Arabidopsis thaliana: one gene and its partners. The protein of the gene in region 1 interacts with the protein of each later gene in a pairwise test. Each region holds a gene or a part of one and is shown in the gene's direction. Other genes may lie near its edges. The genes, in order: RGLG4, GLB3 and UBC18.

Region 1 (5,277 bases):
ATGTTCATAACCTATACAACAAAGATGAGTCCAAGACAAAACACGGCGCCGTAGTGAACGTGAGAGATATTGTGTGCACTCACACACACAATGTGAAGATGAGACTCTTGTTTGGTCGGAGACATTTCAAGGAGACGACGATGGACGGGAGTCTCGGACTTATGGAGAAAGAACATTTTGACGCAATTTTCGCGGCTCTTGATTGTTTCTTTAGCTTTTACGTAGCCGATTACTACCCTTTCTTAAGAGGATGGAACCTCCAGGGAGAGGAGGCTGAGTTAAGAGAAGCCGTTGATGTGATTGCTAGGTACAATAAGATGATTATCGATGAGAAGATAGAGTTGTGGAGGGGGCAGAATAAAGACTACAATCGTGCGGAGACGAAGAATGATGTTCCTATGATCAAGGATTGGCTCGACATTCTCTTCACTCTTAAAGATGAGAATGGGAAGCCGTTGCTTACCCCGCAAGAAATCACACATCTCTCTGTGGTTCGTGATAGAAATATACTCATATAATTACTACCAATTAGTTTGTATATTATATATCTGATAAGTTATGGTTTCTTTTTGGTTTTGGCAGGATCTTGATGTAGTAGGGATTGATAATGCAGTGAATGTAATAGAGTGGACACTTGCGGAAATGTTGAACCAGAGAGAGATTCTAGAAAAAGCGGTGGAAGAGATCGATATGGTTGTCGGAAAAGAAAGACTTGTTCAAGAATCCGACGTACCAAATCTAAACTACGTCAAAGCTTGTTGCAGAGAGACCCTGAGACTTCACCCTACCAATCCTTTCCTTGTCCCTCACATGGCACGTCATGACACAACTCTCGCTGGCTATTTCATCCCAAAAGGTATCTCATTTTTCCCCAAAATTTATGCATTTAGGCGTATTTGACTCCAACTCCTTAAATGTAGAATCAGGAATTCTAACTATATTTATTTTTGCTTGATTTGAGCAATATTTTCATATTAGAATATTTGTTCCTTTGATTTATTATTTTGGACTGAAAAGTGAAAATAAGTAGATTGTGACATACGAATCTTTCAAATTATTATTTTATTTGTTTATTAACTTTAATATATTGATTGTTTGATGTGGATCACAGGCAGTCATATTCTAGTGAGTCGTCCGGGTGTTGGTCGAAACCCTAAGACATGGGATGAGCCACTCATCTACAGGCCTGAGCGCCATATAACCGGCAACGAAGTGGTGTTGACTGAACCAGACTTACGACTTGTTTCATTTGGAACTGGTAGACGCGGCTGCGTTGGAGCTAAGCTTGGAACGTCCATGATTGTTACGTTGTTGGGTAGGCTTCTCCAAGGGTTCGACTGGACCATTCCTCCTGGTACGACGGACAGAGTCGAGCTAGTCGAGTCAAAAGAAAATCTGTTCATGGCTAATCCTTTGATGGCTTGTGTGAAGCCCAGATTAGATCCAAACATGTACCCGAAACTCTGGACCGGTCCAGCTTGATCATACCGGTTAACGGCACCACATTTCAATTGCTATTGTCATGTATGAGTAAAATTTGAATAAAGTTTTTGTCTTGAGGAAAAGTTGAAGAGGAATATAGCCCATAACGTTCATAAAAGGCCCAGCCCAGTATTGTTCTGCCGTTTTAATTTGAGCAAAGTAAGCTTCAAGTAAAGAAACGGGTTGAGTGCAAAAATGGAGAAATTAACTTGCAAGTTGAGATTAGCACATAAGAAGAGTATCTAATTCCATCTTGTTCACAAAGTCATTCTTTTAGCATTAATGATCCTATATTTATATCAAATCTCATAAGATCTTCAGTGTATAATATATAGTTTAATTTTTTTCTAGGTTTTCGTTCGAACTCATGTGGGTTCAGTAAATAAATGTTTAAGTCCCCATCTGGCCGCGTCAAAAATACTTAGATAACAACAATTAGTGGTTGACATAGAAAAGTAATGATTGTTGCCGCGTAGAATGAAATTAATAAAATTATAAAGAACAGTGAAGCAATAAATGTTTCCTTGGCGTCTTGAAGAGTAGTCTTCTTAAATATTCCAGCCCAAAAAAAAAAAGATTCTATCCATTATCAAGAGAAGAAAAAAAATCTGAATTCCAATTCGAAGAAGAAGAAGAAGAAGAAAGGAGATGACTATGGGGAATTTCTTAAAGAGATTTGGAAGTGGAAAAAGCAGAAGCAGTAGAAATATGACTCTGGGAACGACGTCGTCTCAATCTCATGAACCATCACCGTCGGATCCTTCACTCTCCCTTGCCGATAATACCAACGCCACCAAGAAGAAGTACGCTCTCATCCCTGACCGCTTCTCTTCCCTCGACCAGGTTCTCTTCTTTTTTGTATCTCTCAATTTCTTGTGTTGACTTGACTTTTGGTTCACCATGTCTTCTGCTACTTCCATGTTCTTTGAGTTCTTCAAAAGTCTAATAGATGTATATGATTATTTTTTTTCTCCTCCATTCATTCGTTGACATTGGGACATAAAATGATTTTGAGTAAAAAAATTGTCTGGAAACTAATTAGAGATGGAGAGTTGTTACTGAGTGTTAACTAGTGAATGGTGTTTAAAAGGTATCAAAAGCTCTAAGAGAAGCTGGTCTTGAATCATCCAATCTCATTCTCGGAGTTGATTTCACAAAGAGCAACGAGTGGACTGGTACCTTCAGCAAATACAACTTATTGTTAAATTCACATATATATTTTTGCAACTGTAAACAAAAAAGTGGTTAACGTTCTGTTTCAGGGAAAACTTCTTTCGATGGAAAATGTCTGCACGCGCTCGGCGAAACTTCGAATCCATATGAAAAGGCGATTTTTGTAATCGGCCAAACGTTGGCTCCTTTTGATGAAGACAATCTCATCCCTTGTTTCGGCTTTGGCGATTGTAAGTTTTTCTTTCCCAAAAATATCATCTTCAGTTCACTCTCTGTTTCTAAGACTCTGTTTTCTTGCACTATCCAGCAACAACTCATGACGAGGAAGTGTTCGGTTTCCATAGCGACAATTCTCCATGTCATGGCTTCGAAGAGGTCTTAGCATGTTACAAGAGAATTGCACCCAACTTGCGTCTATCAGGTCTTTCTTTGAAAATCTAAATACTACCTTCCATAGCTTTATCACCAAATCACAACCTTCCGTGTTCAAAAGGGCCAACGTCGTATGGACCGCTCATCGATGCTGCTGTCGACATTGTGGAGAAGAACAACGGACAATTCCATGTTCTGGTGATTGTTGCAGATGGACAGGTAAAGTTACAAGCAGTTAAGAGAAACAAAGTATGATACCAAAACTTAAAAGGCTACCTTTTGAATGTTAAGGTAACGAGAGGTACGGATATGGCCGAGGGAGAACTCAGTCAACAAGAGAAAACAACCATCGACGCGATTGTAAATGCAAGGTAAAAAAATGCAGATTCAGTTTTTCATTTTTCGCAACTCGATTTGCGGTATCTAAACAAGCCTTTTTCGAAATTCCTTTATTATCTACAGCTCGTATGCTTTGTCGATTGTTTTAGTCGGTGTTGGAGACGGACCATGGGAAGACATGAGGAAGTTCGATGATAAGATCCCTAAGCGTGAATTCGACAACTTTCAGGTATCTTCCCAGTTTCTGTGCTATTTTCCATCTATATTCTCTGCTTTGAGCATCTTCTTGATCTCTGGTCTATGCATAGTTTGTGAATTTCACAGAGATTATGACGAGAAACTCACCAGAGTCTGCCAAAGAAACTGCTTTTGCTCTAGCTGCTCTAATGGAGATTCCCTTTCAGTATCAAGCAGCCATCGAACTCCGCTTACTCGGGTACTTCCATAAGTTCTCAGCATAACAGAACTACCGTCTTTCTGCTCTATTTTTTTTTTTTTTGTCTAATTGCTTCTGCTGGTCCCTGTCCACTTCTGCACCCGTCTATAAAGGAAGCAGACGGGCTTAGCGAAGACAATAGTTCCGAGGCCACCACCAATTCCGTACACACCTCCAACTAATGCTGAACTACCATCAACTGCATCACCTGCATCACCTGAACAAACCCAGGTCTCATAATTTGTATACTTTACTATTTTTCTGCCTTGTCGAATCAACTCCAATCTCATATGGTTTTCCGTTTAACAGAGTTGCCCGATTTGTCTGACTAACCGAAAAGACGTGGCTTTCAGCTGTGGCCACATGGTAAGTTTCACCGATTGCTTTTAGTTTACTCAAACCCATTCATTAATCAACAACCAGTTTTAACTTACCTTTGCAATTTTCCTTTTGCAGACTTGTGGAGATTGCGGATCCAAAATATCAAATTGCCCGATCTGTCGAGTAAGGATCACGAACCGGCTAAAGCTTTACACATGATCAATGGCCACGAACTTTTTTTCTGACCACGGCTTTACACGTGATCAATGCCAACAAACTTTATCTCTGCACATAACAAATCGCTTGCACATAGCCATCTCCTTTGTAGAATCTACAATTTGGTTTGCCAAGTGTTTCTGACAATGTTCCACAATCAGCGTGTACCATGTAATTCTGTATGTACTGTAAAACATTAACTTTGCAAACAAGAATGAAGAAGCAATGTACAAATTACAAAACATAAGTTTTACATTTTATTCATCATAACAAAAGGTTTGAAGTGATTGACATTGTAGCCGTTTGCATAGCACAAAAGTTGTGTCGCTAGATGCCGGTTTCAAAAACAAAAGATATTACGGCCAGGAAACACGCCATTTTTGTATCGACAAAAGATTCGAGTGAGAGGCATTCACTAACATTGACTCTTAAAATAATTCATCCTTACTGAGTTTTGGTTGTCACCGTGTCATCTGGCTTTGGCATTGGTTGGATTCTTTGATAAGGCTTCCTGGTAAGAGTCTCTCCCCTAAGAGCAGCAACGTATCTGTCGTTTGTATCCTGCTTCTGTTTCAACTCACCAAGATATTCAGCTAGCCTCTCTTGGTTTACTTTACCCATCATCTAACAATACAAAAACAGAAATGTATTGTTCATCATAACACAAAAAGATTGAAGATTAACAATAAGCCTAAGGTTAACATACGGCTGTGATCAATAAACTTCCAATTGAATCGACATTGTGAAGCAGAGCAAGAACTCAGATACATGAAATTCCTTGTTAACACAGAACAATGGATTGGTGTATTAGCAACAAGAAAATGCAAATGCTCAATTCAACATATCGAGGCCTAAACACCTCTAACCTCTAGGTACCCAATCCCATAGGAGCTTTGCAAAGTAGCAGAAAGAATCATCATCAAGCAAAGTTCTACTCA
Region 2 (4,351 bases), on another chromosome or scaffold:
ACCAAACACCAATAAATATTGATCTTCTCACGCAAAAGAAAAGGAAAGAGAAAGATATCTGAAACATGTAATTATGTTTTGGAACTAACTATAATTTTAAGATATTCAAACCATAAGCAAAACACAAATCTACCGAGCACAAAGAAACCTAATTTAAAAGGTGACCTAAGGAAAGATGCTTTGGGTGACCAAGAGGCCACATATGAGAATCACAGCGTATAAGCTAAAATCCATAAGAAGTGCATCCATTATCTTCTTCACCATCATCACCGTCTCCAAAGCGTTGCCTACTTGGTCCACAATACCCTGCCCGCTCATCACCGTCCCTGAGGCCGAGGAAGAGTCTCCACGATGACTCAGCAGAACACGTCCAAGCACAATTGTGGCATCAGTCAAGACAAGCAAGAAAACTGGCCTGAAGCTTACAATGTTGCCTAGGGAAGAGAAACCGAGATGAGATAGTATGACAACAAGTGCAATCGCAAGAGCTGTGAACATCCGTGCGTATTCCGAAGCATCAATGGCCGCTCCAATGTGCTTTGGTGTGATGGCGTTCACAAAACTAACCACAGGAATAAATGCTTGAGAAGCACCTAAATCTACCACTGATGGGTTTTGAACACTTGATGTTGTAGGAGGCGGTTGTATTGTTGTTGTGTCTCTAGGATCTGAAGCAGAGGCTTCTGCCAATGTTTCAGCATGCCTCTGAGGCTGAAGAGGTTCTTCCCTGCTTTGATGGATGATATGATCCACATTCTCAAGCATTGCAGCATCAGAGATGTTGTCCTGGTGACTTGTGAAAGCTGCAATTTCACAACCAAGGATCATCAAAATCAGCAAAGGTTAGCTTCAAGAAACGCCAAAAAGAACATTCACAATCAATGGGTTTTTCCACCACCACTAAGAACCCACTGATTGTGAATATATACAACGCCTTAAGATTTATTGGCTCCAATCAAGCAGCGTAGCAATCTTTTCCTTCCAAACTTTGTGACACAATACAAGGCAAGCAAATTTCAAAAACACACAACATAATAAGCTTTCCAAACACTTGACTGTGGTTGAACCACACCTATAAAGAATTTCACAGAATGGCAAAGAAAATTTCAAGGGGCGAGGTGACTTAAGCAAAAGTAGAGAACAGTGAAATCAGGTTCATAATATCTAATTTCAGCTTAAGACAAGTAGGTTCCAAGTTGAAATCTGGATTTAACAGCTTCACTGCCCATTAACTACTATACTCAGAGGACAAAATAAACTAAAAGATAAAAATGTAGATAATGCGTTGTCCTATTCTTCTCTACAAATTTGCCCTATTTCAAACATCCAATGGTTCAAGCCGGGTTCTTAACACACATGAATTCCACTCTGAAACGAGCCAAACACACATAAAATCTGATCAAAGAAGCCAATTTGATTATCCTTTCACCCAATAGAGTAAGTAAAATTCGATTGTGTCGCTCAAATTCTTACACACACAAACAATCCAAGGATGACAATATTCCCTAGAGAAAGAGAGAGCGAAAGAGTACCGATTTCTTGAGCTTTAAGAATCTGATCGCGAGGGGGAATCGTATCCGGTAAGGATTGGTCAGTTTGAAGGTCAGACTGGGAAAGGGAAGAAGTAGAATCGGAAGGAGGTGGAGAAGGAACGCCGTTGATCTGACCAGTGATAAAGGCTAAACGATCAGATCCTCTATCTAGGATCTTCCGCCTCCTGGCTTCTCTGCTGTTCGACGCCATTGCCTCACCGGAATATTTCTTGTCTTCGGAGCGAGGAAAAGAGGAAACCAATTCTCGACGGGGTCAGCTCAGCTTAGTCCTTTTTAAACGCGGATTTTAAATCACTTATTTCTTCAAACGCAAATCGTCGTCACTAAAGAGTTTGTCGCGTTTAGAATAATGGGCTTCTTAACGGGCCAATTCAAGTGTGCCCAATTACTTCAAAATCCTAAATTGATTGGATAGGACCAAAAGTCAAAGAGAATCATCAAGACAAGTGTCTTTAGTTTTGGTCACGGCATATGCCAAAAAGGCCCAACTAGTGTAATAGAAAAAAGAGAGCGTTGCCTCCACGCGACCACGACCAGAGCCCCCACCATTCCTTTTTAAAATTCAATTCAATCACCCACAGTTTCTTCATCACTGCGAGAGAGACGAAAACCAGAGAGAGAGAGAGAGAGAGGGAGATGCAATCGCTGCAAGATAAGGCATCGGTGTTAAGCGGCGTCGATCAGGCTGAGGCGTTCGCCATCGACGAGTCCAATCTGTTCGACAAGCTTGGTCTTCAGACATTCATCAACCTATCCACCAATTTCTATACCAGGTATTGTGTTCGCTCTGGAGTCTGGGTTATATTATAGCTCTCACTTGCTAAGCTCCATTTTTCGATTAAAATCTGGTGTAGACTAGGAGATTTTGGTTGAAAGTGTGAACCTTTAATATTGATGAAGAATCAATTCCAGTCTCTCTGCTTGTTCAAATGAGGAATTGAGATAACTTTTCCTATGATAATGGCTTGGAATTGCAGATATGAAAGTGTTATAAGATATACTAGTTTCTGATTTGACAAGTCTCTTAAGTCCTTCTTACCTAGACAAGTTTTAAGATTTTGGGTAATGCTTCTACTTATGGACATTGTGTTCTTAATGAATTTCTTGTTTTTGAAATGGGTATTAGGGTATATGATGACGAAGAAGAATGGTTTCAATCAATATTTTCTAACTCTAACAAAGAAGATGCCATCCAAAACCAGTATGAGTTCTTTGTCCAGCGTATGGGAGGCCCTCCTTTGTATTCTCAGAGAAAAGGTTTGCCTTTTTATCTTAAATTTAGATTCTTTTCCCTTAGTTATGTGTTTTAACATTCATATGCTGTTTGCTGCGATCCCTTAGTTATATATGTGTTCATAAGTTGTTGTCTGTGATTGGTTCTCTAGGTTTTTCATGCTTGACTAAAAAATTGCACATCAACTAACTCATTTGTTTTTACCCCTTCGATGCTCACTTAGTACACACACTTGTATCTGTATGATTGTATTACAAATGACATTAATGTACATATTTGATATCACACCAATTTTGAGTTGGTTTTGACTAAATATGACTTGGCATCTCCAAAATCTCTTTGCTTAACTTGTGGCTGTTTGTTTATCTTACCAATGTGTAGGTCATCCTGCTTTGATCGGACGTCACCGTCCATTTCCAGTGACCCATCAAGCTGCTGAGAGATGGCTAGAGCACATGCAAAATGCTCTGGACGATTCGGTTGACATTGACCAGGACTCAAAAATCAAAATGATGAAGTTCTTTAGGTAACACCATCTTCTTCTCAGAGTCAAAAGTCACATAGTTCGATGAAAGTTTGATCGGGTGTTTTATTCAGCTTAAAACCTTAGAATTCTGTAGATATTAGCAAACAGATTTGATTGGCTACTTTTGATCTGTTTCAGACACACCGCATTTTTCCTTGTGGCTGGAAACGAGCTGAAGAATCAGAATGAGAAACCGAAGCATAAGCCTCAATGTGCTTGTAAACACGCAGCCAATAAACCAGCAGAAGAATAATTTAACTACAGATTCTTGTTCTACTTTAAGTTTCCATTCAAAGTACACAAAAGATTCTACGGAATATTGGTCTTTCCTGGAAAGCTATGTAAGAGAAATAGAACTGGTCTACTCTTGGCTCTCACTGCAAATTTGCAATAGCACTTTTTCATTAGATGGTCTGACACAAAATATGTAACATTACAAGTATAACTTTTAAGAATATGAACAATTCTAAACATTATTTACAACACTTCACCTGATTAGAAAACAAGTACTGTACTCTTCTAATAAAAGCGTTAAAATGCCCAACGGCAACCCAAAAGCAAAAGCACCTTTACGGTTCAAATTGAAAATCTGAGCGTCAAAACGAGAAAATTGAAATTTTAAAGAAAAAAAAAAAAGAATACAATAATACGCGGTCACAGATAGAGAGAGCTCTGTGTATAGAAGGGAAATCAAAAATTCAAACGCTACAGATTCTTTCTGTTTCTTTCTACATCTGCCTGCATTTGGGCGCTCCTCACTTCCCCGGCGTTGCAATCGCCGACTAGGGTTTTTCTTCAGATCTCCGGCGGTTACTCTATTTCCGCCGCTCATGGACTCAGATTCTTCTAAATCGCGGATTGATCAGGTCAGTTTCTCTCTTTCTTTTTCTCTTTGCTTAATTTGTCTCCACGAACTTCGGACGAATGTTTGTGTTCTTCTTCATCTCTTTCTCCTCTTTCTCTGTGTGAAAATTCGTGCTTGCTGCAACAACTTCAAGTTTCTCAACACTTCAAAAACTTGTGCTTTTTGAAATCTGA
Region 3 (4,521 bases), on another chromosome or scaffold:
TTGTGATTCGAAATTTTGAAAACGGACATATATTAATTGATAAACGAAAAATATATGGATTTAAGCTAAAATGTTTAAATCTGATGACAAGAAAAAGAAAAAAAAAAGCTAACATGTTTAGGGGATGATTCAAAATCATATCATAAATAAGATCAACATTAATAAAATAATTTTTGAGTGGGACGTGTTTGACGGTATCTTACTTAATAACAATTGTAAACTATAAAATATAAATATTTTATAAATAAAAACAATTTGCAAACTTTTATATATACTAACTTTAGGAAAAAAAATTGTCTCACTCATGATGTACCTTTATTATAAAAACATAAAATTAATTAAGTAATGATATTTTCGATTTTTTTCTAGCGCAATAAGAATAGAATTACCGTAAAAAAATAAAAATAAGATTAGGATTAAATTAGCTAGGACAACTTTTTCAAAAAGAAAATTAACATGCCGAAATCATGAACGTCGTAAATCATCAAACAGCTAGGATTCGTTGTATCATACACTTAAAATGATTAGAGAGTTGATCTATTACTCTAGAGTTTACTTGCAATGATCTCAAACATAAAAATATTAAAACGTTTATTTGATTCCCTATGCAATGAAAAGTGAAGATCTTTATGATTAGCACGGAATTTTCCAAGCTTAACTTTTGACTTTTGTCTCCCTAATCATTCATTAATAACCACTTCATGTCTTTATAAAAAGCACCCCGTACGAAGTTCTTCACTCAAAGCTCCTCATACCATAGTATATTTTGAGCTTTCTAATCACATAGTAATAATTTTGAAAATGGCGATCCTAACTCCCGTCATTAAACTCGTTGTTTTTAGGCAAAGTCTACGACCACATTCTGCTATTGCATTCCTCGTTGAGTTTCTTTGCTTCGTCTTAGAATTACTCGACAAGGAGAAAGATCTAGCCAAAATATTCGGTATCGTATGTGCTTGCGACACATTAATCTTCACTTTGCTCGATCTTATCCAAAGTTTGATCGAGGAAGAAGTGAAAATACAAAGATGCGGCCGAGTGTTTTGGCTTTACACAAACGATGGGAGCCTCTATTGGCACACATTAAACGCATATCTTTTGATGTTATGCATTGTCCACGTCATCGGTTCCACGATCTCTTACGTTTCTCATAAACATTATCTAGTCTTGCTCCCGCTTTTCGCAGCCGGACTCGAACTCGTCCCACAAGAAGCCTATCGAGTTCTTGGACCGGATCAAGAGTCTGGAAATTCTATTGAGCCTCTTAATGGTCCATTAAATGGTATTGAGCTTGAACAAGGAATGGTTGTTCATGTTGAGCCTCTTCAAGAGCCACTAGATGGTATTGAGCTAGAGCAAGAACTCGTCCCACAAGAAACCAATCGGGTTCTTGGACCGGACCAAGAGTCACAAAACTGTATCGGGGCTCTTAATGACCCATCAGATGGAAAAGACCAAAACCTTCAAGATGATATTGTGCTAGATCAAGAGTCACAAGATTGTATTATTGCACCTCATCAATGTCCATTAGATGGTATTGACCTACAACAAGAAACGGTAGTTCACGTTGAGCCTCTTCAAGACCCACTAGATGGTATTGAGCTAGAGCAAGAAGTGGCTATTCATGTTGGGCCAAATGATGACCCATAAACTATTAGAAGCCTACTATAGAATGAAAGCTGAAACATTATATAGATGGAGACGTATGTTTAATGTAATGTACTTTGTCTTAAAAACTTATGTACTTATGATCGTACGACTTTGGTAGCTACAATGTAAGAGAATCTTTGTTACAAAAAAAAATCTATAAATAAAATCGACTCTTCAATGTCCCGTGGAGTCAGTGAAGGATAAACGACACGTGTGAACACGAAGGAAGATTAATAGCCGTCCGATGAAAATGGTTAATTTTGTAATTTTGACTCTTTCACGTGTGCCCTTTCCTCACCCCGAAAAATATTTTTATTTCCTTTTGTTTACACTTTTTGATTTCATTTTCAATAATAATAATATTCGAGTAGAAGAAGAAAGATCCAGACAAAAGCTTAAGCAAGACCTCTCTGTCTTCGTCTCTCTCTCTCTCTCTCTTTGTCTCCGCCATGACAAGCTCTTCATCTCCTTCACGCAAGGTTCTTAGATTCTCTCACTCTTGTCTTCTTATGTGTTTTTTGATTCTCCGATTGTGATTTTTTGAATTTTTGAGATTTGTGTAGGCGTTAAGCAAGATCGCGTGTAATAGGTTACAAAAGGAGTTATCAGAGTGGCAAGTAAATCCACCGACTGGGTTTAAGCACAGAGTTACTGATAATCTTCAAAAGTAATTTTCATTTCAAAATCTTTCCTTTTTTTGATTATTTATCATTTCGATTTTTGATTGTTTTTTTTGTTTTTGTGTGATTTAAAGATGGGTAATTGAGGTAACAGGAGCACCTGGTACGCTTTACGCTAATGAAACTTATAATCTTCAGGTTGAGTTTCCTCAACATTATCCTATGGAAGCTCCTCAGGCAAGTTTTTCATTGTGTTGGTTTTGTTCTGAAAAATTTGTTGTTTTTGATTAAGGGTTTATTTCAAATTTCTTAATTGTGGATTAATTAACTGAAACCAGAGTGTTTTTATGGTTGTATTGCATGTTTTAGGTCAGAGAATTAGTTTGAGATATAGTGACATTTTCTCTACTTGGTTTTGTGCTGTGTTCTGATTTTCATGTGTTTGGTTTTTGATCAGGTGATTTTTGTTCCACCAGCACCGTTACATCCTCATATTTACAGCAATGGACATATTTGTTTAGGTAATTTTACTCATTGTTTCTACACTACTTACTCTTTGCATTTGCTCTTACTTTTTGGTTTCTCTGAAATGCTAGCTCAAGTCATGTGTGTGTCAATCAAATTAGTTTATCTGTTTGATACTTACATATATAGGTTGTTCTTGTTCACGGAATGTAATGTAGCGAAAAGAGAAGCAATGTTAGTAACAATACCCTTAAGAGTCCTAATATATTATATCAACATTGTTACCAGTCTTAACCTTTTTCTCAGTCTGTCTCATTCTTAAAGAGTTCCTAATACTAGCGTCGCATGACATGAAATTAGGTGTGAATGTGTTATCAACGCCATAAAGAAAACCAATACCGTCCCTTTTGGACTCTATGGTGAATTCTTTAGCAAAATCAGAATCTGATCCATGATTATAACAGCCTCTCAATTTCTAGTTATATTGAAACTCCCTTTGGAATGTTGATCAAATAACTTGAAACTCCCATTTGAGTTAAAATCAAATAACACATTTTAGTTTTGCTGTTTTCACTAAACAATAAGAACATGAAAGTTTTATGTAAATTTCTTAAATCTGTTCTCAATGCATCTAAATCCGGTCTAATGAAATCGTGGTGGAACTGAACCATTTGTTACAATACATAATCACGATTATACCCGGCCTCATTTTAGGAGAAAGTCCATTAGGATTATGCGCTTAATATAACACACTCTCTAATTCCTTTTTGTAGATATTCTGTATGACTCATGGTCTCCAGCAATGACAGTGAGTTCAGTCTGCATCAGCATCCTCTCAATGCTATCAAGTTCCCCCGAAAAGGTTTCTACATTTGATCTCTCACACTTTGTATTGTTGTCACAAATTCAAACTTTTTGACCCTGCCACACAACTCTTACTATGTCTTATTGTCGATGACAATATCAGCAACGCCCGACTGATAACGATCGATATGTGAAGAACTGCAAGAACGGGAGGTCTCCTAAAGAGACAAGGTGGTGGTTCCATGACGACAAGGTTTAATGATGACGACCGTAAGATGTCTCTCCTTTCAGTTACAAAAGAGGTTTATATAATTTCCCAAGACTGATAATACTAATTGAAATTCCTCATGGCCTCCCACTTTTTTTTCTGTAACGGATCATTATGTATAAATGACATCTGAAATGTTTCAGTGTCTGAATTAACACCTTGTGCTTTTGTCCTTTCTGAAGTGAAAAACCATGGAGAGTTTAGGCAAAACGAAATTGTATTTGGCAATGTAATTGGATTGATAACTAGTTGGTGTAATGTAATTGAAAATTGAAAAACTAACATAACAATAGAATCCCCAAAGAGTAAACATAACCATGAACGAACAATTAGCATAGCTGCGAGTAATCAAGTTTGCAACAACATTTATTCACCACCACACATAAGAGCACATTTAAGGTGAAAAGACTCGGGCGAACAAAGGATTTATTAAAACACCAAACATATTTTAGCAAAATAGGTAAGAGAGAAAAGCAAATCAAGCAGCAGCAACAACTGTCTTGTGCTTCTCGAGATTGGCAATGATTTCTTCTTTAGCAGCACCAACCACAGTCTCCTTGATCTCTCCTTCTTTCATGAAGATAAACGTTGGCATTGCCTGAACTTTAAACTCCTCAGCAACAGTCTGCACAACAACATAACAAGCAAGATAAAGGCTCAGAGAAGTCAAAAATCCCTAAGTTTGGATATTGGGATAGTGTAAGATTGATGAAG

Evidence for each region.
Region 2: the proteins of RGLG4 (region 1) and GLB3 interact in a two-hybrid assay, tested with the Arabidopsis thaliana proteins (one study listed by BioGRID).
Region 3: the proteins of RGLG4 (region 1) and UBC18 interact in a two-hybrid assay, tested with the Arabidopsis thaliana proteins (one study listed by BioGRID).

Annotation. Positions count from the first base shown.
Region 1 is NC_003070.9:29,858,682-29,863,958, forward strand, and holds RGLG4 (Ca(2)-dependent phospholipid-binding protein (Copine) family), read left to right. Parts: upstream 1-1,809; 5' UTR 1,810-2,130; coding exon 2,131-2,325; intron 2,326-2,572; coding exon 2,573-2,657; intron 2,658-2,744; coding exon 2,745-2,885; intron 2,886-2,962; coding exon 2,963-3,076; intron 3,077-3,148; coding exon 3,149-3,246; intron 3,247-3,318; coding exon 3,319-3,398; intron 3,399-3,489; coding exon 3,490-3,595; intron 3,596-3,674; coding exon 3,675-3,802; intron 3,803-3,915; coding exon 3,916-4,033; intron 4,034-4,111; coding exon 4,112-4,168; intron 4,169-4,258; coding exon 4,259-4,342; 3' UTR 4,343-4,635; downstream 4,636-5,277. Other genes in the region: CYP79C1 (cytochrome P450, family 79, subfamily C, polypeptide 1), read left to right, coding at 1-491, 583-856, 1,112-1,482; AT1G79390 (centrosomal protein), read right to left, coding at 4,784-4,963. UniProt on the Arabidopsis thaliana protein: Possesses E3 ubiquitin-protein ligase in vitro.
Region 2 is NC_003075.7:15,763,297-15,767,647, forward strand, and holds GLB3 (hemoglobin 3), read left to right. Parts: upstream 1-1,815; 5' UTR 1,816-2,189; coding exon 2,190-2,326; intron 2,327-2,679; coding exon 2,680-2,810; intron 2,811-3,168; coding exon 3,169-3,313; intron 3,314-3,451; coding exon 3,452-3,566; 3' UTR 3,567-3,810; downstream 3,811-4,351. Other genes in the region: AT4G32680 (uncharacterized protein), read right to left, coding at 166-803, 1,533-1,743; AT4G32700 (MUS308 and mammalian DNA polymerase-like protein), read left to right, coding at 4,144-4,179. UniProt on the Arabidopsis thaliana protein: Hemoglobin-like protein that exhibits an unusual concentration-independent binding of O(2) and CO. May promote shoot organogenesis from root explants in vitro. Inhibits RGLG3 and RGLG4 ubiquitination activity.
Region 3 is NC_003076.8:17,243,483-17,248,003, reverse strand, and holds UBC18 (ubiquitin-conjugating enzyme 18), read left to right. Parts: upstream 1-2,015; 5' UTR 2,016-2,099; coding exon 2,100-2,129; intron 2,130-2,213; coding exon 2,214-2,317; intron 2,318-2,404; coding exon 2,405-2,507; intron 2,508-2,727; coding exon 2,728-2,791; intron 2,792-3,508; coding exon 3,509-3,597; intron 3,598-3,702; coding exon 3,703-3,798; 3' UTR 3,799-4,017; downstream 4,018-4,521. Other genes in the region: AT5G43000 (uncharacterized protein), read left to right, coding at 802-1,650; TRX3 (thioredoxin 3), read right to left, coding at 4,286-4,432. UniProt on the Arabidopsis thaliana protein: Accepts the ubiquitin from the E1 complex and catalyzes its covalent attachment to other proteins.